Pelodiscus sinensis: one gene and its partners. The protein of the gene in region 2 interacts with the protein of the main gene of each other region in a pairwise test. Links are inferred from orthologs where the notes say so. Each region holds a gene or a part of one and is shown on either strand. Other genes may lie near its edges. The genes, in order: SRGN, UBQLN1, TMUB2 and RIC8A.

Region 1 (6,862 bases), on a different chromosome or scaffold from region 2:
TAGTCCATATTGTGTTGATCAACACCTTTTAGTGATTCCCATGTTCTAGGAAACCTATAATTTATTTATGCAGAAAATTAATAATATATTTTAAAGTACAATGAACTCTTTTAACACCTATTATCAGGGATCAAGTCTAAGAGGGTACAGTGTGTATTTATCCAGAAAAAAACACTTATTAGATATTTGGAGAGTATGGATAGGGAAAATTTCAACAGGCCTCTAACAAGACTCCTCAGTTTGTGAATTTAGATTCCACTCCTGCAAACAGGATCTGTTATAGATGTGAGTTTTTCTTTACTGCCCCTTTCAGGTTTTTGTTGACTCTTAATGTTAAATCTGAGTCCTTCAAGTTTTTCTTTAAGATTTTTCCTTCTAAGTTGTTTGCTAGTTATCACTCAGATATCTCCTTTTACTCATTGCTTTTCTCATTTCTGGCTTCTGACTTCTTAAATCTATGCAAAATTTCAGAAGAGTAAGGAAGCCTCTACAATCTGTTGTCTTCCAGAAATTGCAAGGGCATGCAGGTTGTTTATTGTTACTGTAGGACTTAAGAAATAGGCTTGTGGCATTCAGGTGAAGATCACACTGAATTTCATACAAAAATGAAATTGTGATTATTAATGAAATATCTGCCCTCCTCTTCCATTGAACTCTCTTGTGCTTTCACTGTTGTTCCCTTATGAAAGCAAGCAGCAACTTATAAACACTCTGGTCTGAAATGTGGCACTGAAAAAAGGTACAAGTTGTCCTCTGAAAAGAACTCCACTCATCTAATGGGTCAGAGGTCCACTTTGCTGGCTTCTATAATGGAAAGCCTTACCGTGTGTGTGTAGATAGATTTATTTTACTTTTCCAATTCAAAGATATTAGGAATGTAACTTTAATGAGAAATATAAAGCAATTGATAAAATAAGGATGGACACTGGGGCAGTCAGTTTTGAGTCCACAAAATGTGATCTTATTTGGCACCCTGAGATGCACCCTGTTTCTGTGTTCTTCAGCAGCATTGATGGTAGTGCTGGAGTACAATAGGCTGAGAGCTAAGCTATACTGAAATCCTTTCAGGGTTTGCCCTCTTTTTGAAAAAGTACTGTCAAGTCTCTAGCTCCAGTGAATTGTTTTTGTAGCAGGATTCTGAGGCATGTCTTCAGTAGGAAATACCACAGGAAGACTAAGGCTATGTCTATACTACAGCTTATGTTGACATAACCTAAGTCACTTGGGGGATAAATAGATCACCTACCTGAGTGATTTCAGTTACACCAACATAAGTGCTGGTGCCTGCAGGAGCTTAAGACGTTAAATCAATGGGAGAGCTCTCTCCTTTCAGCTTAGAGTGGCTGCACCAGAGAGCGGACAGCAGCACAGCTGCACTGGGGCAGCTGCACTTCAGTAAATGTTGTAGTGTAAGTATGCCCTAAAATCTCCTTCAGATACGTGAAAGAGACTCCTCCCTTTGGAAAGAACAAAGGCCTTACCCACATGGGAAGTTTTTTCAGTATAGCTTTTTCCACTATAACTATACTGGCAGGTTCTGTATCCTGACAAGGTCCCAGGGCTGCAGAACTGGGGCTGGAGGAGTTCTGTGTCCCTGCTAGTTAGTGGTAGGACCCAGGCCCCTTCTTATCTTCCCGTGTGCATTCTCCTGTATATTGGCATTACTGTGATGAAAGAATGTGTCAAGCACGTCATTGTTTATGCCAGCCTTAGTTATGTCACTTGTGAATCAAAGTATTTGTGAAAGGAAACATTATTAAAATGGTCCCATTTGTAAGGAATCCAGAATGTAATGTAAAATATGTTAATCTTTGAAGTTAGCCTCAACATTACCAGAGAAGGTTAAAAGGATAGGCCCAACCTGCAAAACTTGTATCTTGAGTAAATGTGATTTTTGTTAATACTCATATTTCTGTGTGATAGCTGCAATACATTGGAAACACAGAATATTCAAAGACTTTTACATTGAGATGTGACAAATGCTATGGATACCTGAGAATATTCACAGACTATTTCATTACCTTTGTATGTTATATGTATCTTTATGCTAGTGATTGTATTTCTAGGTCAATGGGTGAGACAAATGGTTCCAAATGAAATTCACCAATTAAAATCACTGGGCAAGGGGGCAGGAAATAATGTAAATTTTAATGCAAGTAACAAGTATGTGGAAGTTTCATACCCAGAGGAGATAGCACATATATCAATTTGTCCTGGTTGAAAAGGCCTGGCAAACAAAGAACTGTAAACTGTATAAGGAGGTTGTTCTTATCTGGCAATTGTCATGAAACAGTTCAGGCCATGTTGAAAGTGCCTGAAGCACTTTAATTTTATCTGAGTCACCATATGGAAGATAGCTGACTGCCTGGTAAATTTGATCTGCAAATAAACTGTTTATTTTTATTATATATTTTCTCTGTAATGCTATTTAATCAGAACAAAAGCACTTTGCCTTATGAAAGCTTGATGGGCATTGGTTAACTCTGTTATTGCTACTGAGAGAACAGGACTGCAAGGGTACGTCTAGACTACATGGCTCCATCGACAGAGCCATGTAGATTTCTTTGTTCGGAAAAGGGAAATGAAGCCTCGATTTAAATAATCGTGGCTTCATTTAAATTTAAATGGCTGCCGCGCTGAGCCGACAAACAGCTGATCAGTTGTTTGTCGGCTCAGCACGCTAATCTGGACGCTCCTCTGTCGACATGAAAGCCCTTTATCGACCTCCCCGGTAAACCTCATCGTACGAGGCATAACGGGGAGGTCGATAAAGGGCTTTCAGGTCGGTGCGGGAGCGTCCAGACTAGCGCGCTGAGCCGACAAACAGCTGATCAGCTGTTTGTCGGCTCAGTGCGGCAGCCATTTAAATGTAAATGAAGCTGCGATTATTTAAATTGCGGCTTCATTTCCCTCTGCCGATCAGCCTAATCTACATGGCTCCATCGACGGAGTCATGTAGTTTAGACACACCCTAGGTGCTGACCTATAGTGAGATGGCCTAAGAGAATCACAATGAATTACAGGAATCTGCAGTATAAATCCCCAGTCTGGAGAAAGGGCATTGTGGGATCCATTTCCAGAAAGGTGAAAGCTAGAGATATGAGAACTAAACAAGATGCCCTCAAAGAAGTCATGCATGGGTCAAAGGTGCAGTTATTTTGGAATTGTGACATATTGTTCTAAAACCTAGCTGGACCCCTGGGGAATCAAGTGGAATTTCTCCTAAATATTCAGAAAAAATTCTCCTCATTCCTATTAAGTAGGTCCAGGTTTTCACCCTTCAAGAAATAAAAAAACAGTTGGAATACAAATCCTGAATTTAAGAATTTTTGCAACGTGAGAGTTTCACAAGCTCTGTAAGCTTCAAGTTTCACACTGATTATGCTACAAATAATATGCTTATGGCTTGCTTTAGAAAGGGGAAATTTACTTCTGTTGCCAATGCAGCACTACAGTTGCCTACTTGCCTGAAAGTTTGGGATATCAACAGATTGCTACCTGGTTTTTAATTAGGAGTGACAAATTTACAGTAGACCTCTGGCGGCTGACATGTCTGCAGATACTATATGCTTTGGGGAAAGTCTATAGGCAGGCTGGATTGTGTCACATATTTCTGGCCTCTCATTTCTAATCGCTGAAGTAACTTTTTTATTATGGTGCTTACTGGGACCTCAGTAACTCAGGAAAAACGTCTCTTGAAGTCAGTGGTGATTTTTGTCTGAGTAAGAACCACATAACAAGACTCTAGTTTTTTATTGTAGATGCTTCAGTTCAATCAGGAAGTTGTGACGCAGGATATGGGCTGGGTTTGAGGTTTTGGAAACCTTTTCTAAAAGTCTATCTCATTGCCCCTCGTTTTATTTCCTAAGTGTGAAGCTGTAGTGAAGAGTGGCAGAGTGTGGAGGAATGCAAGCCAAAATGCAGACTCTTGTGAGACGTAATGGGAGGATTTTCCTGGCTGTTTGTATAATCCTCTTTATGGGATACTCAGCACAAGGTAAAACAGTGAATGGTTGTTATTTCTATAATCCTCTTTCTAAACTATGTAGTATAGGCCAAGTAAGGTACTGTTGATTTTAAAGAAGAATTCTGACAATTGACCTTAAAGTAGAAATAATAAAACCTACTTTTTATAAAATGATTTTTTTTTGTTAAATTTTCCATCAGCATAACTTTTTGTATCATGCAAATTGTGATAAAACTGCCTTTGGCAAGTGGATCTTTTCTGTCCTTCTTATGTAGATGTTATGTGTAGTTAGTATTAGAATTTATTTTATAAAAATGATGTAATTGATGGCTATAAAAAGTTATCGAAGTTCTATCTATATGAATTTCTTAGCCAACTGTTTTTGTAGTGGGTGAAATACATCAACATCGTGCTATTATCTGAGTAATTTACAGATTTTTTCATTCAACTGAGTCTGAAATACAGCAATCTAAAATGGATCTACATTTCAGGAAGTAAGGACTTCAAGTAGACCTTTATTGGAGTTGTTTCAATCAACAATAAGGCTGATAAATCACCTATAGATAATATGTAAAATTACAGAAAGTTACTTTGTAAAAGCAGCTATGGTGCCCAATTTTGCTCTCATTTATACCCTTTCAATGTATTGACATTAATGTGTTTGTTTTGGGATTATAACAGATTGTTGAATGTAAGATCTTAACAGTTAAGAAAATATTTGAGAAGATGCATATTTCTCATATTATAGATTCATTTTTTTCATGGGGAAATAGGACATTTGTGTAAGTATGGGGAAGTTAAGGGTTTTATTCAATACAGCAAGAATTACAACACCATGCACTATAACAGCTAAAAGGAAACGTTGGTTCACAATGACACAGACATCCTGGACTTATTAGAGACATCTAGTTTTCAAGCTATATACGTGTATTTCCTGTAGAGATATTATCACAGTTATCTGCATTAATTAGATACCTACTGGTGTTTCCATCCTAAATATTATTTTCTTTGGTTGATTATTACCTGACTTTTATGCACACAAAAGGCATGGTACTTTCTACATTTATTATACACAGACTTTATTTTTAATAATATACAAATAGAATAACAATTAAAAGAAAAGACTCTGAGAGAGATGTGAAATAATTGTTATAAGTAACTCTCCAAGCACTTTCTGTCTCCTGTAGAAGAAATGTGTGTATCAGTGTCGGAACAGGTTTTAACCCACTGGAGGAAAGAATGTGCTTGGAGAGTTACATTGTACCTTGGAAGAGTGATTCAGTACAACATGGTAATAGACAATGTTACAAGGGACTGTAGTTACCAAGAAGAGACATTTTCAAAGAATAAAACGAAATTAGATGGAAATACCCAGAGAAGGAGAATATAACATGAGGATTCAGATGCGATTAGTTAATGACAGCAAAAGAAGAATGAAAATTTTGGTTTCAAACAGTTGTTTGTTGGTTTATTTTTTATTTTGCAACTTAAATTTAAAAAAAAAAGCTTTTTCAAAATTAGATGTGAATGTAGGTTAGACACTGAGGGGACGGGAGGAAGTGAAAGAGCATCTGAAAAGTGTTTAGTGAATATCTGCAGCAGCTACTTTCCAAGTCAGTAAATACACACTGCACTCTATGCTACAGAGCCTTATTATTAATGTAGAGATCCCACAGGAGGGTAGGGAGGAAATCTCTGTTAGGGTTCTTAATTCTGTTGGGGAGGTTGGTTACCTTTGACATTCTGGGGCATCTGCGGAAGGGTAGGGAAATCCACAGAAAGGCTCTCAGTCTCCACGCCAGCTCTGGCACCTGGGAGCTATAGTGTGCTCGGCACTTCATAAGATTAGAACCATACTTTGCACATTGCTATGTGCCTTTCCAGCCTCTGTGTGTCTTTTTCATCCCTGTCCGTATAATTTGGAAATCTACTCTTTTTGGCATGAGAGACATCGAACTTTATATAGCTGTTTCACATGGAATTTCTGTAGTGTTTGGAAGCTGTGCGCATATGGATGTAATATGGAATACAGGAATATTACTGATTAATTAAAAAATATCTTGCCAGAATTGTTTATGGTTGGGCAATTACTAAATACATGCATACAGTTATAACTGCCAGTTTCCTAATCAGATGTTCATAAATTAACATAGTCCATAATATTGACTGCATTCATTCATACTAATAGTGTACAAATAATTTGATCAGGTGTTCCAGTGCAGAAAGCAAGATTCCAGAGGGTAAGATGCAGACCAGACATCTTGTCTGCTAACTGCATTGAAGAAAAAGGACCGTTGTTTGAAATTTCTGAAGGTGGAGCTAACAGAATTCTCCCTCCCAAGGCTGATCCATTTCTGTAAGTAAATGAATTAACCCCTCAATATTTGTGGTTGACATCAATAAGCTTTCAGTATTCCTAACTAAAGTGCTTACATCTTTGACTTCTAATATACATAAAAACTGCCATTGTAGATCAGACCAATGGTCCATCTAGCCCAATATCTATCTTCCAAGAGTGGCCAGTGCCAGATGCTTAAAAGAACTGGAAACCAAGTGATCTATCCCCCACTGTTCATTTCCAGCTTCTGGCAAACAGAGGCTAGAGACACTCAGAGAATAGGATTTCATCTCTGACCTGCCTGGTTAATAGCCATTGATGGGTCTATCCTCCGTGAACATATATAGTTCTTTTTTGAACCCTGTTATGGTTTTAAATATCTATCTATCTATCTATCTATCTATCTATCTATCTATCTATCTATCTATCTATCTATCTATCTATCTATCTATCGTTATGCATTTGATTTTCTTTTGCATGTTGAAAGAGTCTGAATTTTTAAAAGTAATAGTACAAACATGGCCTGATTTTGAAAATTACAGTAAACTAATGTGGAT
Region 2 (7,037 bases):
GAGCATGTGGCATTGGCAGGACACTGGGTTAGATGGACCTTTGGTCTGATTCAGTATAGTTGTTCTTATGCTATGTTCCTATGTTTGTGATGAGTTTTGCTTTCTAGTTTTTCATGTGCTGCTGGCTAAAGGATGTGAGATTCACACCAATGCAATTTAATGTCTTAAAGTGTTTTATTGTCCCGAGAGAGACAAAAGTTATTGAGCTTCAAACTCTTTATCATCTGAACTGAAAGAGTAGGTACATCAAGAAATCATATTGTGATGAACTTTCCCCCGCACCTGAGTAATTCTATGACGAGGACCCACTGTAGTGCATTAGTAAGTCATTTTGCATAACTGATTGCAATACATTACTTGTTCCCATTTTATTAAATGATCTAATTGAATCAAAGAATTAATAATCTGCCTCATTCAAACTAAAAAATTATAAAAGATGTTCCAAAAAGCATGAAATTATGTAATTGATATTTGTGAGACTACATTATTTTGTGATACCCTAATTTCACAAATGTTGTAGCTGGGATTGAAACATGTAAAACCTACATGTAAAACCTATGATTTCCTTAGTTACCACTACTTGTTTCATAGAATCATAGGAGATTAGAATTGAAAAAGACATCAGGTGGTCATCTAGTCCAATCCCCTGCTCAAAGTTGGACCAAATTTAACTAACCTGTGGACTGCAAAAGAAATTCTGCCTTCCAATCTGATGTTTGATTTCTGTATAAAATGCTGTTCCAAGATAATTTCCAGTGCTCTGTGCTGCTGGAACTGTTACAGTTCAGGGCAAATACCTGTATTTCTACCCCACCCTCAGCTCCCTAGCTGTTGCTCTCAAGTGGACATTCATATCTCTTTCAGTCTGATCATTGTATTTCCAGACTGCACAGTTCACAGCCTTTTGTATGTTTCCTACCACAGTCTGCTTAAATAGAGCTGCTTGCTTTCTTTTCAGAGACTGGTAACAGAGGAAATGCTATAGGTATGTAGCACACATTTCCTCCTATACCTTAAGGCTGTGACTAGACTGGCCAGTTTTTCCGGAAAATCAGCCACTTTTCCGGAAAAACTTGCCAGCTGTCTACACTGGCCGCTTGAATGTCCGCAAAAGCACTGACGATCTCATGTAAGATTGTCAGTGTTCTTGTGGAAAGACTATGCTGCTCCTGTTTGGGCAAAAGTCCTTTTGCACAAAACTTTTGCAGCTCAGATTTGTTTTCCGCAAAAAAATCCCGATCGCGAAAATGGCGATCGGGGCTTTTTTGCGGAAAAGCGCATCTAGATTGGCACGGATGCTTTTCCGCAAAAAGTGCTTTTGCAGAAAAGCGTCCGTGCCAATCTAGACGTGCTTTTCCAAAAATGCTTTTAATGGAAAACTTTTCCATTAAAAGCATTTCCAGAAAATCATGCCAGTCCAGACATAGCCCAACAGTGGTGGTATTGCTGTGGATGCTTCCATTATAGTTCTGTAGTCCTTTTTAAATGGTGAATGTTTATAATAGGAGAGAAATCTTGAGTAAAGATTTCAGATTAGGTGTTGATTGCACAAAGTAGGTGAGCTCTGAAGCAGGCCTAGTGAGATGAAAGAATCCTCACTGCCAGCCTTAGTCTCAGCTCCCCACCCACCCTTTGCAGTAGAGCAAGACTACTGCCACTCCATACCCCACAGTGAAGAAACACCTAATTTTGCTATGACACATAGGCCTGCACCAGTTTTGCTGACAACACCACAGCAGCAATAGCGGTATGGTGACCATATTTTCTGAACCAAAATTAGGGACACATTAGCCATGCCCCTGACTTCCATTAACCATGCCCCTATGACCTGTTAGCCACGCCCCCATCACAAGAAGTCCCACCACTGAAGGTAGTACTCCTTAGGTCAAGATGGACACATGAGCATAAGTAAAGGGTGACCCTTCTAAGAACTCTTCCTACTGTCGTCCTACCAATAGGGATAGGTTTGGCCCACACAGGACACTCCCCATGAAACTATCCTGCAGTTACATTAACCCGACTTGCATTGCATTAACTTGGGGAGAGGGGCGGAGAGGCTGGGGGAAGTGTTCCCTCTAAGATTTTCCTCCCATAAGCAGAGTGAGTTTTGTCTTGTGCACCTGTATTGAGGTCATGTCTGCTTGTTGGGATGTGTGCCACTGTGGCACCCAAGTTACTAATAAACATCATAAACCTCTCCCTTTTCCCCTCTGCTGCCATTGTCTCCGTCCCTTCCCCTATCTGTTCCCCCACCCCTCACTCTCCTCTGCTGTCCTGCTCCTGCCCTTTTCACTCCCCTCAGCCCTGTGGGGACCTGCCCCCCTCTCCCCTGCCCTGCACCAGCCCTTCTCTTCCCCTTTTGCCCACTCTGATTATCTGCAGGTACCTCTCCCCATCCTTTCTCCTAACACCTCCCTCTACCCACTACCCTGCGTCTCTTCTCTGGGGCCCATCCCTCCCCTCAACATGTCTGCCCTTCTGCTTTACCCCCATAATCTCCTGGTACCTGCACCTTCCTGGTGCCTCCTCCTTCCCTCTCTGCTCACCCCCTCACCACTCTCTGCCCCAGTTCTCCTCATGCCCCCTGTGCCCTCACCTACAACTTGCTCCATCCCCTGCCTTCCTCATGTCCACCCCTCCTTTCAATGCTGCTTCTCCCAGCACCCACTTCACTCCCAACCTCTCCTCTTCCTTCCTCTTGCCTCTATATTCCCTCCCCTTTTCCACCCCCCACTGACACCTTCCCTCCCCCTCCTGCCTTTTTCCTTTGTCTCCTTTTGAGAAGAGGCAGGGGGAGAACTAAGAAGAGGGGTGAGGAGAGGGAAGGGGCTTGTGTGGAGGGGAGGGGAGGGGAGGTGGGGGGCAGCAGAAGAAGAAAGGGGGCAGGCAGCGGCAGAGTGGAGGAGAGACAATTAGTACGGGGATGTAACCAACATTACAAAGGGATTGTACTGATATTTGATTATTCTGGGCCTGGGAGCAGAGTGGAGTCTAGTGGTTATATGCAGCACAGCCAGCCATCTAACTGGGCAGGCATTCTGAAAAGCAATATGACAAAATAGATATTACAATGAGTGTGCTATCTTGATGATGTGCTCTATCCTTAGCAGCTCTGCGTGGACCTTTTGCAAGTGCTTGGTATCACTGGCCCAATAGTTTTTAACCTCGTGTGTTGTCCATGGACAGCAGTGGCCAATTGATGGTTTAATGAATCTGGGAAAGGGACAATACACTAGAACACTAGTTCTTAATTTGTGATTGCTGGGTGCTTAGGTACTCACAACCTATCTCTGAGGTTAGCCAGAGCCTCTGCCCCTCTCTTTGAAAAAAAGGGGGGGTGCACAGGGAAAAGTGGTGATCTGTGTCCTTAGAAGCTGGGAGGGAGACAAGTAATAGTTCTAGCCCCTAAACAATTAATTCCTGGCTTTCTCACAACTGCGTCGAAGTTATGGTATGTGTGAGTATCAGCTGCAATGCATGACACCATGATGAAGCAGCTCTGCACAACTGGGCCTCAGATTTCCGGGGGTGGGGTGCTAAAGCTGGCACTCAACCTATATGGCCTGGAGCGCGGCTACCCTATGGCCCCCGACTCTGCACCACGCAAGTTGCAAAGGGACACCTAGGCGCCTGGTTGCTTCAGAAACACCAGTAGTGAATTAACTGCGGCCGAGCGGCCCGCACTGCACGTGCTGCAATGGACGTGGCCTGGGGATACTTTGGACCCTCTCCACCCCCCGCCGACAGCGACGCACTAGGAGAGAGGGAGGCGGGGCATCAAGGCCTCGAGCCAAAAGCGTCAGGAACCACTGACGTCTCGCTCAGCCGCTCAAGCGCACGAGGCCGCACCTGCGCACTAGGCAAAGCGAACGCATAATTCGAGTCCCGTCAGATGACATGAGCAGGCGCGCTAGTTACACGTGAGAACCGAAAGGAGTCGCACGGCGGCTAACCATTACTCTCGCGCACTATCGGCCAATCGATATTGCGCGTGCGCGCTTGTTCAATCACCTGTTGCACATGCGCGCGAGGCTTAGCCCTGTGTCCTATGCCTGGCGAGACAACATCCCTTTCTAGTAACTTCCCTCATTCGAGACGTCATCAGTGCGCGCAGCGCCCGATCTGGGTTGTTTCCGTTTAACTCTCCGGGAGGGAGAGCGTCGCGGGTGTTTTCCGGTGTCGGCGCGCGAGGCAGCGGCGCTGAGGAGCCGGGTTTGCGCAGCGTGCCCCGCGCGGCGAGAGCGAGCGAGACCCAGAGCCAGCGGCCCCTCTCCCCCTGCCATGGCTGAGAGCGGAGAGAGCCCCCCCGGGGCCCCCAGCCCCCCGGATTCCCCCGCCCCGGGAGGAGCCGCCGACTCGGAGCCTCGAATCATCAAAGTCACCGTGAAAACCCCCAAAGAGAAGGAGGAGTTCGCGGTGTCCGAGACCAGCAACGTGCGGCAGGTGAGGGGGGCGGGCCCGGGAGGCCGCGCCGGTGGGGAAACGGGGCAGGCGCGGCCGTGGAGCTTCCTGCCCCCTACTCAGTTTCCGAGCCCCGGAGAACGGCAGCCGCGCGCTCCTGCGAGCGCGGAGGTTGGCGGCGCTGTCCCGGTGCCGAGGCCAGCCGCAGAGCGGGGCCCTCCCCGCCAAGCCAAGCCAGGGCCCTGCCGGGTGACGAAGCAGCGCCTCGCTGAGTAGCACTGCGCTGCCGCTCCTTGCCCTGGCCCTGCTTATTTCCCGCTATAGTACAGTTAGCCCCGCGACTAGCCGGCGCCGGCTCGCCCACGGGCAGCGAGTTCTCGGAGAGCAGAGAGGAGCGTCTTTACCGATCTTTGCTACTGTAAGCTGAGCCTAAGCCCAGTTAGCCGAGTGGCGCTAACTGCGGGAGACGGGGCCGCGAACTGCTAATTGAACGGGTTACCAGTCAGGCGGAGGTTGGTGATGAAAGAAGATAATAGCAGCCTTCACCTGATAGTCCTCATGGCTAAAGAAAGTGGTACAGGACGTGTTTCAGTTAGGAAGTGTGCATGTGATGCTTTTACCCTAAAAGAGTATTGCGGTTTAAATTAGATTGAAAAAAAAATCGCTAGTTAAATGTGGAAACGTGTTAGTGCTATTACACAATAGTTTCTCTGGTGTGGTGTAGTCATGAGCTGTTAGAATCTTTTTTTCTGTAAGTTTTTATGACAGCCAACTTGTTCCTTTGCAACTTGCGTTCATAGGAAAGAATGCTATCTATTGAATCAAACAATTTCCTGTGATATTCTTTTTTTGGAGGCCTTCCATCCAAATATTGACTAGGCCTGATTATACTTAAGCAAAATGCAGGACAATGGAGCACTTTAAAGACTAACAAGATGGTTTATTAGATGATGAGCTTTCGTGGGCCAGACCCACTTCCTCAGATCAAATAGTGGAAGAAAATAATCACAACCATATATACCAAAGAATACTTTGGTATATATGGTTGTGACTATTTTCTTCCACTATTTGATCTGAGGAAGTGGGTCTGGCCCACGAAAGCTCATCATCTAATAAACCATCTTGTTAGTCTTTAAAGTGCTCCATTGTCCTGCATTTTGCTTCAGCTACCCCAGACTAACACGGCTACACTTCTATGATTATACTTAAGTGATGCTTGGAGTTTTGTGGTTGCAGGCTGTAAGACATTACCAGTGAAACTGTAAAGCAACTAGCAAAATAGTTTCCTTGCTCATGAAGGAGACAAACTGCCACATTAACAGAGCTACAAAAATAAATGTTATCCATGGGAACTCATTTTATATTCCTTTTTGTGTGTGTAATTATTTAGCATCCCTAGAGATGCATTAGATGCCGTTTAAATTTAAACACCATAATGACTTCAGCCAAAGCTGCACCCTTCTTTTGTAAGGCTTTGTAAGTAGATTTTTTGGAACATGACCAGTGTGTGGAATGGTGTGGTAGCCTATTTGATAAAGGCTATAACTTCTGGGCAGATATAAAGGACAAAATAGGAGCTCCAGCAGCAAGAGCTAGGATCAACACCCTGGTTAGAAGCACAGCCCCTTGCTGCTACTAGGAAGGGGGAAGATGCTGAAATTTCTATCCTGGTATTCCTCTTTGGATCCAACTCAGAAATCTGATTTTTTTTTTTTTAATTAAGATCAATTTTTGATTGCTGGGCCAGAAGTTTCAGGAAGGCCTACCTCCTGATGGCTGAAAGGGGGCGCGCTTTGTCCATTAGGAGTGGTGTAAGCTTCCGAGTTATGAATTCTATCACTCCCCATGCAATGTAATTAAGTTGACTTAAGCCATGGTGTAGAAACTGCTAAATTGCCAGAAGAATAATTGTCAGCCTAGCTACTTCCTGTCAAAGGTGGATTTATTAGAACAATGGAAGAACACGTTCCACTGCCATACTATTTGTCTATGCTGCAGGATCATAGCTTGTAGTATTTCCAGTGAAAACATACCCTTAAGCTTTTCCAGAATCTCCTGACTGCTGCACTTGGGTAGGCTCTGTTACTCTGCCTTCAAGCTTCATTTTTGGACTTGTGCTTACCTAGGCAAAATTCCAGTGCCTCTCTGATACTTCTGGCTTGCTTTTGCAAGCAACAGCTGTGTGAAACTGACACTTTTTCCATTTCCCCATTCACCTGAGAGTTCTGAATAGCAGTAATGAAACTGATTACTTTTATTTCACTTCTTTTCTAAAATTTTGCAACTTTTGACAATCCAGCTAAGAGATGCAAAGCCTTTTCAGTCATATGGACCAGTCTTTCACTTAAATTAATAGGTAATAGGTCTCTTCTATGTGGTTTTGAGCCTGTTAACCCAGAGCTGTTTGTTGTTTAAAAATGACAACACTATAAACACTTTGCATTTAAAATTTTTTCAGAATAATTTTATTATGTATAGGAACTATTTTAGAATTGTCACTTGCCATGAAAAGCTTTCTACTTGCAGATGGGTTTTCCAAGTCCTGCTTAGGCTCTGTAGTAATTAGGGACGTAAAATCCTGTTTAATTGGTTAAATAGGTAAACATATTGTTTAACTGGTTAACTGATTAAAAAGG
Region 3 (7,131 bases), on a different chromosome or scaffold from region 2:
CTCACCCAGTTTACAATCATGCATTCAGTACAATTTACCATAGAAGCCTGTGTGATCTAGTAATTAATGCAGGGGACTTGGGGTCAGGACCCCTGGGTTGTAGTAGTCCTGGCTCTATTGTTGAATCATTATGTGACCATGATAAATCACTTTCCCTCCCAGTCTCTCACTCACTTTCCTCAACTGTAAAATGGGAATATTCACTGCCTCACAGGTGGGCTGCTGCAGGTTACACAGAACTTGTGAGAAACATAGGGTTGCCAGGTGTCCGGTTTTGAACCAGACAGTCCAGTATTTGAGCTTTCTGTTTGGGAAAATGAGAAATGAGAAAATATAAATGTCCAGTTATTTTCTAAATAAGATGTAATGTAGATTGTGATGTAATGTCAAGTATTTCCGGTATTTTTGTTGAAACCATCTGGCAACCCTAGAGAAGCACTAGTGCGATTCACACACACAGCACCCTTGTCAGTCTAATCTAAGAAAACACCAGTAGGTGCCTGGCTAGGGTGCATCAAATAGAATGTGATATCTGTTTTCAAATGGTGTTTCCGGTTTTTTTTAGAGAGTACTGAATCCCAGAGACCTTTGCCACAAAAATCTATGACTAATGTAGGGGGAGAAAACACCTACCACAGCCAGGGACACAGGGTTGCCCTCTATCAATCAGCCATGCAGGAATCCTGCCTGTTTAAGGAAGAAATTCGTTTCCTAGCCCTCCTTGACCCTGGACTTTCCCTGCCCATTTCCATGATCAGGGGACTGACACCTTGCAGTAAGGCTCCTCTGCTTCAGGGAAGCACCAAAGCCTTTCAGGCCTGGGTGGGGAGGGCACATGGGGGGAGGGGGGGGATTAGCCTCCCATGGACTGCGTGTTAACACCACAGAGTGGGGAGATGGCACTAATGGGGGGGGGGGGGCACGTTCCCAAGCAATAACATGGCCTCCACAGCAGTCCTCAAGGGAGGAAAGGGGGGGGGGGTTAAAACCCTACAGAGGAATAGACATTGGGGGGGTTAAACCCCTGTTAAGGGGCAGCGCCACGCTGGGGGGAAGGAAGGGGGGGGAAGAGCCGTGGAGGCAGTGGCAGCTGAGTAGCGGGGGAAGGGCAGAGCTGGGGGTGGGGAAATAGCTGGGAGGGGGTGGCAGCCAAGTAGCAGGAGAGGGGCAGAGCTGGGGGGGGTGGCAGCCGAGTAGCGGGGGAGGGGCAGAGCTGGGGGGGGGGAGTAGCTGGGGGAGTGGGAGCCAAGTAGTGGGGGAGGGGCAGAGCTGGGGGGGGGGGGGACAACTGAGGGGGGTGGGAGCCGAGTAGCGGGGGGGGGGGAGAGTTGGGTGCAGAACCGGGGGGGGGGGAGCCGAGTAGCGGGGGGGAGAGCTGAGGGGGGGCAGAACCGGGGGGGGGGGGGGAGAGCTGAGGGGGGGCAGAACCGGGGGGGGGGGTGGGAGCCAAGTAGCGGGGGGGGGAGAGCTGAGGGGGGGCAGAACCGGGGGGGTGGGAGCCGAGTAGCGGGGGGAGAGAGCTGAGGGGGGGCAGAACCGGGGGGGTGGGAGCCGAGTAGCGGGGGGAGAGAGCTGAGGGGGGGCAGAACCGGGGGGGTGGGAGCCGAGTAGCGGGGGGAGAGAGCTGAGGGGGGGCAGAACCGGGGGGGTGGGAGCCGAGTAGCGGGGGGGGGGAGAGTTGGGTGCAGAACCGGGGGGGGGGGGAGCCGAGTAGCGGGGGGGAGAGCTGAGGGGGGGCAGAACCGGGGGGGGGAGAGAGCTGAGCGGGGGCAGAACCGGGGGGGGGTGGGAGCCAAGTAGCGGGGGGGGGAGAGCTGAGGGGGGGCAGAACCGGGGGGGTGGGAGCCGAGTAGCGGGGGGAGAGAGCTGAGGGGGGGCAGAACCGGGGGGGTGGGAGCCGAGTAGCGGGGGGGGAGAGCTGAGGGGGGGGCAGAACCGGGGGGGTGGGAGCCGAGTAGCGGGGGGAGAGAGCTGAGGGGGGGGCAGAACCGGGGGGGTGGGAGCCGAGTAGCGGGGGGAGAGAGCTGAGGGGGGGCAGAACCGGGGGGGTGGGAGCCGAGTAGCGGGGGGGGAGAGCTGAGGGGGGGCAGAACCGGGGGGGGGGGAGCCGAGTAGCGGGGGGGAGAGCTGAGGGGGGGCAGAACCGGGGGGGGGTGGGAGCCAAGTAGCGGGGGGGGGGAGAGCTGAGGGGGGGCAGAACCGGGGGGGTGGGAGCCGAGTAGCGGGGGGGGAGAGCTGAGGGGGGGGCAGAACCGGGGGGGTGGGAGCCGAGTAGCGGGGGGGGGAGAGCTGAGGGGGGGGCAGAACCGGGGGGCTGGGAGCCGAGTAGCGGGGGGGGGAGAGCTGAGGGGGGGGCAGAACCGGGGGGGTGGGAGCCGAGTAGCGGGGGGGGGAGAGCTGAGGGGGGGCAGAACCGGGGGGGTGGGAGCCGAGTAGCGGGGGGGGGAGAGCTGAGGGGGGGGCAGAACCGGGGGGGTGGGAGCCGAGTAGCGGGGGGGGGAGAGCTGAGGGGGGGCAGAACCGGGGGGGTGGGAGCCGAGTAGCGGGGGGGGGAGAGCTGAGGGGGGGCAGAACCGGGGGGGTGGGAGCCGAGTAGCGGGGGGGGGAGAGCTGAGGGGGGGCAGAACCGGGGGGGGTGGGAGCCGAGTAGCGGGGGGGGGAGCTGAGGGGGGGCAGAACCGGGGGGGGGAGCCGAGTAGCGGGGGGGGAGCTGGGGGGGAGCAAACCCCGTGGGGGGAAGGGCCGCGCCGGGGCGCTTGGGAGCCCAGGACAGCGGTCGAGCGGGGGATTCACCCTTCGTGGGCGGGGAGGGGCCGGGCCGAGGCGGGGGGGTTAAGCCGGGGGGGGGGGGGTCACTACCACTTACCCGGCACTCCCGCAGACGCCTCCTCCCTACCGAAGGCCCCATACGCCGCGTCACAAGCACACGCCGCCTACGTCAGACGCGCGCCCACCGAGCTCAACTACGTTCCGCGCGCGCTGCGAACGTCAGAGGGACCCGCCCAGCGGGCCGGATGGTGGGGGAGGAGCGCGTCGGCGTACGCTGGTGACGTAGTTAAAATGAGCCGCGAGGGAAAGGGGCGGGGCCAGGAGGCAGGCGATTGGTCGGATTGATCCAAGCCCGCCTCCATAACAGGTCCCTTCAAGAGAGTTGGGCAGGGGGCGGCGCCAGGACGAGTGGGCGGGGCTTGTAACAAAGGGGTGTGGCTTCCACTTCTGTGGTCCCTATAAGGGAGGCAAGGGGGTAACTTGGCAGGGGCTAGCTCAGCCCAGCAGTGTCCCCAGGAAGTGGGGCAGAAGCTGGGGGGCAGCTCAGAAAAGACAAGACCTAGGAGACTCTGGCTGCAGGGTGGGGCCAAGGGGAAGGGGTGAACCCACAAGGTTGCAATGGTCCAAATGCTGCGTAATGCCCCGCTGTGGGACTGGGAGCCCCTGGGTCCTGCGGGACTCGCATGGGTCATAGCAGGAGCCAGCTCGACATTAAAGAACCATGTGGAGTAGGTATTAAAAAATAGGCCCACACAGGACTCTACTGCTGAGCCAGCAGCTAGAGATGTTAATCACTCCAGGAAAAGCCTTGGGAAACGTACTGGGGTGGAGTGGTGCTGCTGGAGTGCAGTGCTACAGAACAGGTTGGACACTAACATTCTAGGGAAAGTAAAAGCAGATGGACAGCCACCCAAATGTATGGTGCAAACGGGTAATTTATGAGGTCCCATTGGACATGGCTGTGGCCGGAAATAAAGCACGTGTTGTAGGTGGGGAATCATGTGAGTGGGTTGTACCCACGAATACTCATGATACCATCTACATTTTTTGTTAGGCTTGCAGCACGTTAGGGACTATTTGGTATTTTTTAATGTGCTAGTAAGTGATAATTAGTAGGAGAGGGGGTGAGAACAAACTGCCCACAGTAGTGCAAATTACATTTAGAAGAACTTTCCGTACCATGGTTAAGCTAGGAAATGAAATGTTTTGGATGAAACCATATGGAACATGGAACCAGTCATGATTTTAGAAGCCTCTACCATATCCCCTCTTAGTTGTCACTTTATTAAGCTGAAAAATCCAAGTCTTATTAATTTCTCCTCCTATAGCAGCTGTTCCATACCCTGATCATTTTTGTTGCCCTTTCTCAATCTTTTTCAATTCTAATATTTCTCTTTTGAGAGGAAGTGATCACATCTGCCCCCAGCATTCAAGATACAGACATGCCACAGATTTATAGAGGCAATATGATATTTTCTGTCTCATTATGTATCCATTTCTTAATGAGTCCCAACATGGTTTGCTTTTTTTTTTTTTTTTTTTTTTTTTTTTTTAACTATTGCACATAGTATGTTTTCAAAGAACTTTCCACATAGACTCCAAGATCTCGAGTTGATTCTAGCCTTTCTTTCACATCTAGTGCCACTCGCCCACCAGCACACCCTGTTAGAACCTCCTGAAATATTTTGTACCCTGGTATTACTGTGTCCCATTAATTATCCTCCTTTTGCCAAGTTCCTGTGATGCCTCATTCTATTAAGAGCCTCATTCAATACAAGGCACTCGAGTTCACCCATGTTATTTAGAGTTCTAGCATTTGTGTATTTAAGCACCTTAAACACTTGTCACTATTTAGCAGTCAGCCATTACCTGATGTGACTCAACGAGTGTTTAGTGACTAGACCACAAGCACGATTATGAAACACGTGTCCAGTTACAAGAAACAGCTGCTGCCCCACACCCCAGGCACCAGAAGTCATAAGGACAGTGCTGAAAGGGAGGCAGCATTAACAAAGATATGCTATTTTTTCTGAGGACACAGCAGAGGAAGAGTGCAATGGCAGGACTGTGTGAGGAATATAGTGGCTGGTAGTATTAGGCTCAGTCAATGAGACAGCTTTGCTGTAAAGACAGGTGCCTGGAATCCATGCCTGGCTACAAGGTCAGGGTCGGGGTGGGACTAGGAGCTGTGCCTGGCTCCAGGAACCTGGCCTCGCTTGGTTAGAGGGGTTTAACTCTTCCTGCCCCACTCCCCAGACTTTCACATGCAGGGAAACTGAGGCATGGAACAGGGAGGTAACTTGCTCAAGGCCATCCCGCAGGGGAATAGTAGAACTGGAGATAGGGGCTAGGGGACCCAGATTCAGACCCCATCTCTGACAGACCGCCCTGGAAGGAGAAGTAGCCATCTCTTGGGTAGAGTATGGCTTTTGTTTAATAGCAAACACCAACAGGATGTAACCTAGCAGGAGAAGGAATTAAGAAGAAACCACATCCTGCAGGGGGCTAAGTACAATTATTACCAAAGTGCAGCTGAGGGCTGAGGCACACGGTTCAGCACGTCTGATCGCATCCCGTCCAGGGCGGGGGCACATTGTTGTACAGAAGCTTCCTGCATTACAATGTTTTCAAGGGACCCAGACCCTTAGAATTTGGTGTGGCTGCCGCCCTGTGCAAGCTGCCAGCCCAGCTCAGGCTAAAGTTTGTGATGCTACATGATCTTGTCTGGGGCAGTGGCCCCTGCTTAATGCTTCAAGGGGGAAAGAGGAAAAAAAAAAGACCCACATACCCTAACCCTCCCCTACCAAGAGGCAAAACACACAGCTGTGCAAAGAACCGTGACATTTGAGGCACCATATTGATCCAAATTCTATTGTGCCCTATGCAACCGCATGTTGTCTTAAGGCTCTGGCCGCCCCATCCCGTGACAGCCCGCCCTCTGCCCCTTCTGCTAGCTGCACCCAAAGGGCTCTGTGCCCAGCCCCCACTTACCGGAGATGAGTGCCCCTCATGGGCCAGAGGACTGGGCAGGGAGCAGCTGCACAGCAGGTGGCTGAAGAGAAGCAGGACTTTCACCGTAAAGGGGCCACGTCTCTCTGGCCGGCTGTGTGACCACCTGCTGCTCCTCTAGCCCACACCGCCTTCCCTGCTTGCTCCAGGTTGTCAACTCTCCTGGCATGGACCGGGAGTGTTGGCAACCCCTTTCCCTCAGCTGCAAAGGCACCAGCATCGGTAGGGATGGCCCTGCCTTCTCCCACCCTGAACCCTACCATTTTGCACTAGCGAGTGATGTCTTCAGAGTCCCTGCAGCTGCTATCCTCATGTGTATCACCTCTACAACCTGAGCCCCGGATCCTGATTCCGCCATGTCCGGCAGGGTGTGACCTGGGGAATGGTCTGTCGTATTCCAACTGCGGGGGGGAGGGAGGGGAATGTCAGTGCCAGAGTCTGGCTTGGAGCAGGAGGTTGGATTCAAGCCCCACCTCTCACTTCCGTCAGCAAAGAAGAGGGAGAAAAATTGTTCCCTTGGGCCTCTGATGATAGGACAAGAAGCAATGGGCTTAAACTGCAGCAAGGGAGGTTTAAGAAAAACTTTATTCCAGTGTTTAACTACCCTGACAAATTGCATAGGGAGGTTGTGGAAGCTCCATCACTGGAGACATTTATGAGCAGGCTGGACAGACACCTATCAGGGATGGTTTGGATGGTGCTGGGTCCTGTTGTGAGGGCAGGGGACTGGACTTGACCTCTCAAGGTCCCTTCCAGTTCTAATGTTCTATAGGAGATGGGTTAAGGCATTATCCCTGTTCTACAGAGGGAGAACAAAGGGGAACAGCACTGCCCTGGCTTCCAGGGCACGAGGAAGGGCCTTGTCACCAAGGAAATGGCTCAGCAATATCAGATAAAAATACAACTGCTGGGCTCTACCATGCCCCGAGCAGCACCTTCAACATGCCAGCAGCTCCGCCTGTCTCCACTGCAGGAAGCAGCCAGGCAGCACTCCTTGCCCAAAGGGACTTGTCCTCCCCAAAGATCTCCCCTTCAATTGCAGGCACTTGTTTTTCCTTCTGCTGCAGGATCCCTGCCCAGTGTGCCAGAAGATCAGGGCGAATCATAGGACTGGAAGGGACCTCGAGAGGTCATCGAGTCCAGCCCCCCGCCCTCAAGGCAGGACCAAGCTCCGTCTACACCATCCCTGACAGATGTCTATCTAACCTGTTCTTAAATATCTCCAGAGAGGGAGATTCCACCACCTCCCTTGGCAATTTATTCCAATATTTGACCACCCTGACAGTTAGGAATTTTTTCCTAATGTCCAATCTAAACCTCCCCTGCTGCACTTTAAGCCCATTACTCCTTGTC
Region 4 (7,072 bases), on a different chromosome or scaffold from region 2:
CCCTACCGTTAACATGCTCCCTTCATTATTTGTAGTTGTGAACCATAATAATTCTACTACATCCATAGCTTGCTCCCTAGGCCTCAGATGTTACCTCCTAATCTTCCTTTACCATAAAGGTCTCTTCCTTGCTATCTCTTTAGTCCCTGCGTCTTCATTCATTTCTCTGACATGTTTCCCTTGTACCCTTGATGCTAAAAATCTGAGCTGAGTGCTTCACTTCCAATACACAAGGGAAGCAGGATGGGGAGATGTTTACTAAATGCTCAGGATCAGTCACTGTCAAAACATACATGCAGGAATCACTGATGCTACAAATACAAAATGTAGCTGCTAAGCAGGTTAATGGCACTTTTATTGAAGTGACACACAGGCAGATGTAGGTAGAGGAGACAGACAGGGACAGCTGGCTGGCAAGAAATCCCACAGCATGGCTTCCCCAGCCAACCTGCTGCCAGACACGTAAACATGGAAGCTGAGCACTGGCACAGGCCTAGCACAAACCCAACACTCACCTCCTGGTTGTAGATCTGCAGCACCTTGAGGATAGCATCTTGTTCTCCATTTTCCACAGTCTCTACCACATTCTTGAGTTCCATTGCCCCGGCAGGTTGGACAGGGACTGGAACGCTATGGGGTGGAGTGGGCAGGCTTGCAGCGTTGCTGGATAATTACCCGGATAATTACGGATGCACAGGGACCTTGACACACAGACCACAGGAAGGAAGAGGGGAGGAGCAGAGAGAGAAAAGCAAGTGAAATGGCTCACTCTATTACAGCCAAAGGGCAGAGCAGATGGATGACCCCAATAAAACCAGGCGCTAACTCCTTCTCTTCTTCTCTCCCTTTAATCCTCTCTCTCCCTCTCTTTACTTTCCAATGTTTAATAAACACCCTCCCACCAACGCACTTAGGAAACCCCCCTCCCTTCCTCAGTGGGAAGATTAACACAGAACAGATAACTGCAGCTCCCTGCAGCCCTCCCCTTCCACCCACTGTCCTGATTTCTGTTCCTGCACAGCAAAAACCCAGAAATTTCTTTGTGGAATAAAAGAGATGCACAAGAGAGCAAGACAGACAGACAAGCCCCATGCAGGCTGGGTTAAGGTGGAGCTGTCCTTTAAGGTGGCACGAAGAAGTCCGTCAACTGAAAGCACTTTAATTTTGTTTTGTTTGTTTACGAAAGAATCTAGCACTCTGAGGCATCTGTGTAGGTCTGTAACTGGGGAAGATGAATATGCCAAATGCATTATAAAAATGCCTGGCTTGATGGATAAAAGGCCACTGTTGTCCAACATAGGGGCAGCGGGCTTCTATCATTCCTGACACGAATGTGTTTTACAATTATAGTAAATAATTAGATGTGCATTTATATGCCAATAATACTCATAGATTCTTTGGGGCTAGGCATTTGGCTGGTTGTAAAGCACTTTGTTGACGGACAGCGCTGAGAGAGATTGTTAATATACTACACTATTGAATATGATTCCATAAGGCTGTGTAGGGTAATATTTTCTATAGCTAGATTTCAATTCTGCACTAAATATTGAGGGTGTAAATCCCCCAATAAAGCCAAGGTCTTGAGACAAGTCCCATACACCTCTCTCCCCACCCCAATTCAGAAGCTCCACCTGAAACTCATTGCGTGGTGGGCACCAATTCTATGGCACTGTCACAATAAAGTTTAAGGGTGCCTACTGGCTGCCCAGCATGATGCTCCCCCTGAAGTTTGCAAGCTACTAGGACGGCTGAGGAAGACAGAGAGGAACACAGCTCTCAAAACCACAATAAAACCCCAAACTCCTCAAAAGAGATCCCATGGAAATGTAGACATTAAAGCTGAAAAAGGCAGCTCATCTCTAATCCACCCCCTTTGGGCCAATACAGGATTGTTCACGACAATGTACTTTCCTTCCAACTCCAAGCTTCTAGCACTTCCCATGGGACTAGAACACTTCTCTCAAACCTCGCTATTTGGATTTTGTTCCTGTTTTTCATCTTGCATTTTTCTGTTTAACTCATGAGAAGTTCTCCCCACCCAATACCAGTCTCTTTTTGATGCCCACATCCACCAAAAATGTATAGATGCTGGTCTTTGTGCTGCTCCCTCTAGTTCCAATTCTGCACCAATTACACCTGAACTTAACTTTAGTTCTGTGAGCAGTCCTTTCAAATCAACTGGACTCCTAAAAATTCTGCATGGGGGTAATGCCTTTGCAGGTTCAGGGCCTGTAGTCATACACATTTCTGTCTTTTCATCTTTCATAGTAAATCAGTCTTTACAGAAATCCTCATCAATTTGGAAGGACAGGATGGGACAAATGATAACTAATTTGCTAAAAGTAGAGACCGTACCTCTTCAATACTGAGGGATGGTCACAGAAGCAAAATGTCCTGAAACAATTAACAATAACTATTATAACAGTTTTCAGAGGGGTAGCCCTGTTAGTCTGTAATTTAAAAAAACAACAGCAGTTCTGTGGCCCCTAAGAGACTAACAAATAGATTATACCATGGCAATAATTATCAGATTAGCTTTATTTTAAACGATAAAACGTTGCTAAACTGGTTAAAACAGCTCTACCTTCCAGAGTAAAGAAAAGGAGTGTAAACAAATAGTAGGAGCTAATAGATGTTACATAGAAAATATAATAAGCACATTACCTTTACTTTAGTTTTCCTTGCTTAGGTTTCTTGCTTTATTTCCTGAACACTGCAGCTTGTCTCTCCCCCATCTCTCCAATGTAAGCGATTTGTGCAGGCAGCTGCTTTGTTTAAAAAAAGCTGGATTTTGCAAGCTCGAACGCTGGCCGGCCGGCTCAGGGTGGAATGTGATAGCATTTACCCTGTCGGGATGCTGTTCCCAGGGTTCAGGGATGGGGCACCAACTGGGGAAGGTCTTAATCTCTCTTCCCGCCTCCCCACTGTCCAAGGGTGGAGGGAAAGAGTCTATGTAACTCATACGGAAGTTAGGACCGTGCTGACATCCGACAACCGATTCAGAATGGGGGTGGGGATTGCAACAGGTCGGAGAGAGAAGACGATACAGTAGTACAGACAAAAGAAACGCTGTATTACTGGAGGTTTGGAAATCGGGGGAGGGGCAGAGATAGCTTCCTGCGATCAGCCATAAGAATTTTCAACAACGGATGCAATATGGAAATATTTTAGGTGCTGATCATCCACCCTTCTCTGGCAGGATTAATGACAAAGAAAAATCGTCTCCTCTCCATTGTCTGGTGGGAGTCAGATGAAAGAAATTCTTAGAGCAAAATAATTAAGCGGGGCTGGGCAAACCTGTTCTTTGACTATGTTTTTCTCCTATTGTTTTTTTAAAATATTTCATTGAATTTTGTGTAATATTTAAGCTGTTAAGTATAAAATAGCAAACATAGAAATAAGAAGGAATGTGCTAAATGTCACTGCCCAATCGCTGTTTTTCGGTTCCATCCCTTCTGGCTAGCTGTTCATTCTTGGTGCTCCAGTTGTGTTAATACTAGCTACCAGGCACACTACCTTCCTCCCTGAGTGGTCCTACTGATGAAGCTAACGCCTAGATCCCGCCATTTATTCCCCATTACTGGATCTTTGCATGCTTCTCAGCAGGCCCAGGTGGCTGCTCACATGGATCAAATTGCAGGCTCAAGGGCTAAATAAATAATATGTTGTTGTGTGAAACAGACACAGGAAGTTTAGGCCAGGATGTTAACTTTATTAAAATAAGCTACAGAAATGCTTTCCGTTTAATTGAAACCTTATTTGTAATGCAAACATTAGGGCTCTCAAGTGATTAAATGTTTAATCGTGATTAATCACACTGTTAAATAATTTAATGTTATTTATTTAAATATGTTGATGTTTTTCTACAAATATATTGATTTCACTTTCAACACATCAGAGTACAGGGCTGGCTTTAAGTGTGATTACAAATATTTGTGCTGTTAAAAATAGTATTTTTTAATTCACCTCATACAAGTGCTGAAATGCAATCTCTATCATGAAAGTTGAACTCAAGGTAGAATTATGTATAAAAATAACTGTGTTCAGAAATAAAACAATGTAAAATCTTTTCCTCTCCCATTGTCCGGAGAAAGTCAGATGAAAGAAATCCCTAAAGCAAAACAATCAAGTGGGGCTGGGCAAACCTATTCTTTGACTATGATTTTATCCTATTAGCTTTTTAAAAAATATTTCATTTAATATTGTGTAATATTTAAGCTATTAAGTATAAAATAGCAAACATGAAGATAACAAGGTATGTGCTAAATGTCAATGTTCAATTGCTGTTTTTCTTTTCCATCCCATCTTGCTAGTTGTCCATTCTTGGTGCTCCAGTTATGTTAATAGTAACTACCAGGCATAAGAGTCTACAAGTTCACTCAGTCCTATTTCTTGTCCAGCCAATCACTCAACAAGTTTGTTTACATTTGCAAGAGAACTGCTGCCCATTTCTTGTTCACAGGATCTGCTTGATAATGATACGAAACAGTGTAGACTGATGCATATTCATTTTCTTCATCTGAATCAGATGTCAATAGCAGAAGGTTGATTTTTTTTGGTGGTGGTTGGATTCTGCCATTTCTGCATTGGTATGTTGCACTTTTAAGACTTCTGAAAGCATGCACCACACTTTAGTCCACTCAGATTTTGGAAAGCACTTCAGACTCTTAAACCTTGGAGTGTTGTAGCTCTCTTTAGAAATCTCACATTGGTGCCTTCTTCCTGTTTTGTCAAATCTGTAGTGAAAATGTTCTTAAAACAAACGACATGTGCTGGGCTATTTTTACAATGCAAATATTTATAATAAAATAATATAAAGTGAGCACTATACAGCCTGTGTTGTGTGGTAATTGAAATCAGTGTATTTGAAAAGGTAAGAAAACATCCACAAATATTTAATACATGTCCAGTGAGATAAGAATGAAAAAAAGAATGGCCATACTGGGTCAGACTTAAGGTCCAACTAGCCCAGTATCCCGCCTTCCCACAGCAGCCAATGCCAGGTGCTCCGGAGGGGGTGACCAGACCAGGGAATCATCAATGTATCCCTCTCCTGTCATCCATTTCCAGCCGCTGATAATAATTTATAGATTAACCTCCATGAATGTATCAGGTTTTTTTTAACCCTGTTAAAGTCCAGGCCTTCACGACATCCTTCTGCAAGGAGTTCCACAGGTTCACTGCGTGCTGTCAAGTGGTGATTAAGCAGGATGATTTTAATCCATTGAGTTAATTAGGAGAGTTAACACTGCCATTCATTAGCAACCCTAATAAACCTCCCCATGTTTTCCCTCCGACGTTAGGAGCCCGGACAAAAGCCCATTGCACTCAGGTTGAAAAGGGAGCCCGTGGGGTGGCCCCGTGTGAACGCAAAGCCCAAAGAAACGGGACAGCCGGGCGGGGTGTGGGCGGGCTGCAGCCCCTGCGGTGGGTGTGGCGCACGCGCACGGCTGCTCGGACAGCAGGGCCCGGCCTCGTTCTCGCCCGGCGCCTCTAGCGCGCGGGGCTGAGCCCAGCCCCCGGTCTCCGCCCCAGCAGCTGGGGGCAGTGGAGGCCCCGCCCCGCGAGGCGGAGTCACTGCGCCCCTCCCCCCCCCTTCCCGGTCCTCCTCCTCCTCCCGGAGCCGCCGGCCGGACGCGCAGGCAGGACGCGGCCATGGCGGACTGGGGCCGAGGTGAGCCCGGCCGGGCGCCGCGCGCGGTCCCGCTGCAACGGGAGCCCCGGGCCCCGCCACCGCCCTCGCGCCGGGCCCGGGGAGAAGGAACAGCGGGGCGGGGCCAGGCAGGGGCTTGAGACGGGTTTGGTGACGCAGGGGGAGGGGGGCAGAGATCAGGGGGGCTGGTGGGGAGCTGTGGGGCGGGGTGACTGGGATAGGGGGGGTGGCAGGGAGCTGTGGGGCGGGGAGCTGTGGGTAAGGGGGACGGGCGGGGGGTTGCGGGGCGGGGAGCTGTGGGTGGGGGGGTGGCAGGGAGCTGTGGGTAAGGGGGGCTGGCGGGGAGCTGTTGGTAGGGGGTGGCAGGGAGCTGTGGGGCGGGGTGACTGGGATAGGGGGGGTGGCAGGGAGCTGTGGGGCGGGGAGCTGTGGGTAAGGGGGACGGGCGGGGGGTTGCGGGGCGGGGAGCTGTGGGTGGGGGGGTGGCAGGGAGCTGTGGGTAAGGGGGGCTGGCGGGGAGCTGTTGGTAGGGGGTGGCAGGGAGCTGTGGGGCGGGGAGCTGTGGGTGGGGGGGGTGGCAGGGAGCTGTGGGTAAGGGGGGCTGGCAGGGGAGCTGTTGGTAGGGGGTGGCAGGGAGCTGTGGTGCGGGGAGCTGTGGGTAAGGGGGGCTGGCGGGGGGTTGCGGGGCGGGGAGCTGTGGGTAGGGGGGGTGGCAGGGAGCTGTGGGGCGGGGTGACTGGGACAGGAGGGGCTGTGGGTAGGGGGGGTGGCAGGGAGCTGTGGGGCGGGGTGACTGGGACAGGAGGGGCTGTGGGTAGGGGGGGTGGCAGGGAGCTGTGGGGCGGGGTGACTGGGACAGGAGGGGCTGTGGGTAGGGGGGGTGGCAGGGAGCTGTGGGGCGGGGTGACTGGGACAGGAGGGGCTGTGGGTAGGGGGGGTGGCAGGGAGCTGTGGGGTGGGGTGACTGGGACAGGAGGGGCTGTGGATGGGGGGGTGGCAGGGAGCTGTGGGGTGGGGAGCTGTGGGTAAGGGGGACGGGCGGGGGGTTGTGGGGCGGGGAGCTGTGGGTAGGGGGGTGGCAGGGAGCTGTGGGGCGGGAGCTGTTGGTAAGGGGGACTGGCGGGGGGGTTGCGGGGCGGGGAGCTGTGGGTAAGGGGGGCTGGCGGGGAGCTGTTGGTAGGGGGGTGGCAGGGAGCTGTGGGTAAGGGGGGCTGGCGGGGGGTTGCGGGGCTGGGAGCTGTGGGTAAGGGGGGCTGGCGGGGAGCTGTGACCGGCTAGGGTAGAATAGGGCTGTCTGTGAGGTTGGAGCAGGGTTGTGGGCAGGGAGGCTGTGGGCAGCCAGTGGTCTGGCAGTATCGGTTGATGTGTCTTGGGGGGGTGGGACTCAGTGGGACAATGAGGCATGTGGCACAAAGGAAT

The links.
Region 1: the proteins of UBQLN1 (region 2) and SRGN interact in binary tests that used the Homo sapiens proteins (3 or more experiments, as listed by UniProt). The two-hybrid records come from large-scale screens. The link is inferred for Pelodiscus sinensis from reciprocal best matches to the Homo sapiens genes UBQLN1 and SRGN.
Region 3: the proteins of UBQLN1 (region 2) and TMUB2 interact in binary tests that used the Homo sapiens proteins (3 or more experiments, as listed by UniProt). The link is inferred for Pelodiscus sinensis from reciprocal best matches to the Homo sapiens genes UBQLN1 and TMUB2.
Region 4: the proteins of UBQLN1 (region 2) and RIC8A interact in binary tests that used the Homo sapiens proteins (3 or more experiments, as listed by UniProt). The link is inferred for Pelodiscus sinensis from reciprocal best matches to the Homo sapiens genes UBQLN1 and RIC8A.

Annotation. Positions count from the first base shown.
Region 1 is NC_134718.1:28,745,708-28,752,569, forward strand, and holds the start of SRGN (serglycin), read left to right. Parts: upstream 1-3,841; 5' UTR 3,842-3,906; coding exon 3,907-3,997; intron 3,998-6,175; coding exon 6,176-6,323; intron 6,324-6,862. UniProt on the Homo sapiens protein: Plays a role in formation of mast cell secretory granules and mediates storage of various compounds in secretory vesicles. Required for storage of some proteases in both connective tissue and mucosal mast cells and for storage of granzyme B in T-lymphocytes.
Region 2 is NC_134716.1:40,477,776-40,484,812, reverse strand, and holds the start of UBQLN1 (ubiquilin-1), read left to right. Parts: upstream 1-4,013; 5' UTR 4,014-4,281; coding exon 4,282-4,443; intron 4,444-7,037. UniProt on the Homo sapiens protein: Plays an important role in the regulation of different protein degradation mechanisms and pathways including ubiquitin-proteasome system (UPS), autophagy and endoplasmic reticulum-associated protein degradation (ERAD) pathway.
Region 3 is NC_134739.1:7,421,867-7,428,997, forward strand, and holds the start of TMUB2 (transmembrane and ubiquitin-like domain-containing protein 2), read right to left. Parts: upstream 3,025-7,131; 5' UTR 2,867-3,024; intron 688-2,866; exon of another isoform or gene 634-687; intron 1-633.
Region 4 is NC_134714.1:124,579,746-124,586,817, forward strand, and holds the start of RIC8A (chaperone Ric-8A), read right to left. Parts: upstream 3,007-7,072; 5' UTR 2,665-3,006; intron 702-2,664; 5' UTR 600-701; coding exon 516-599; intron 1-515. Other genes in the region: BET1L (BET1-like protein), read left to right, coding at 5,656-5,674.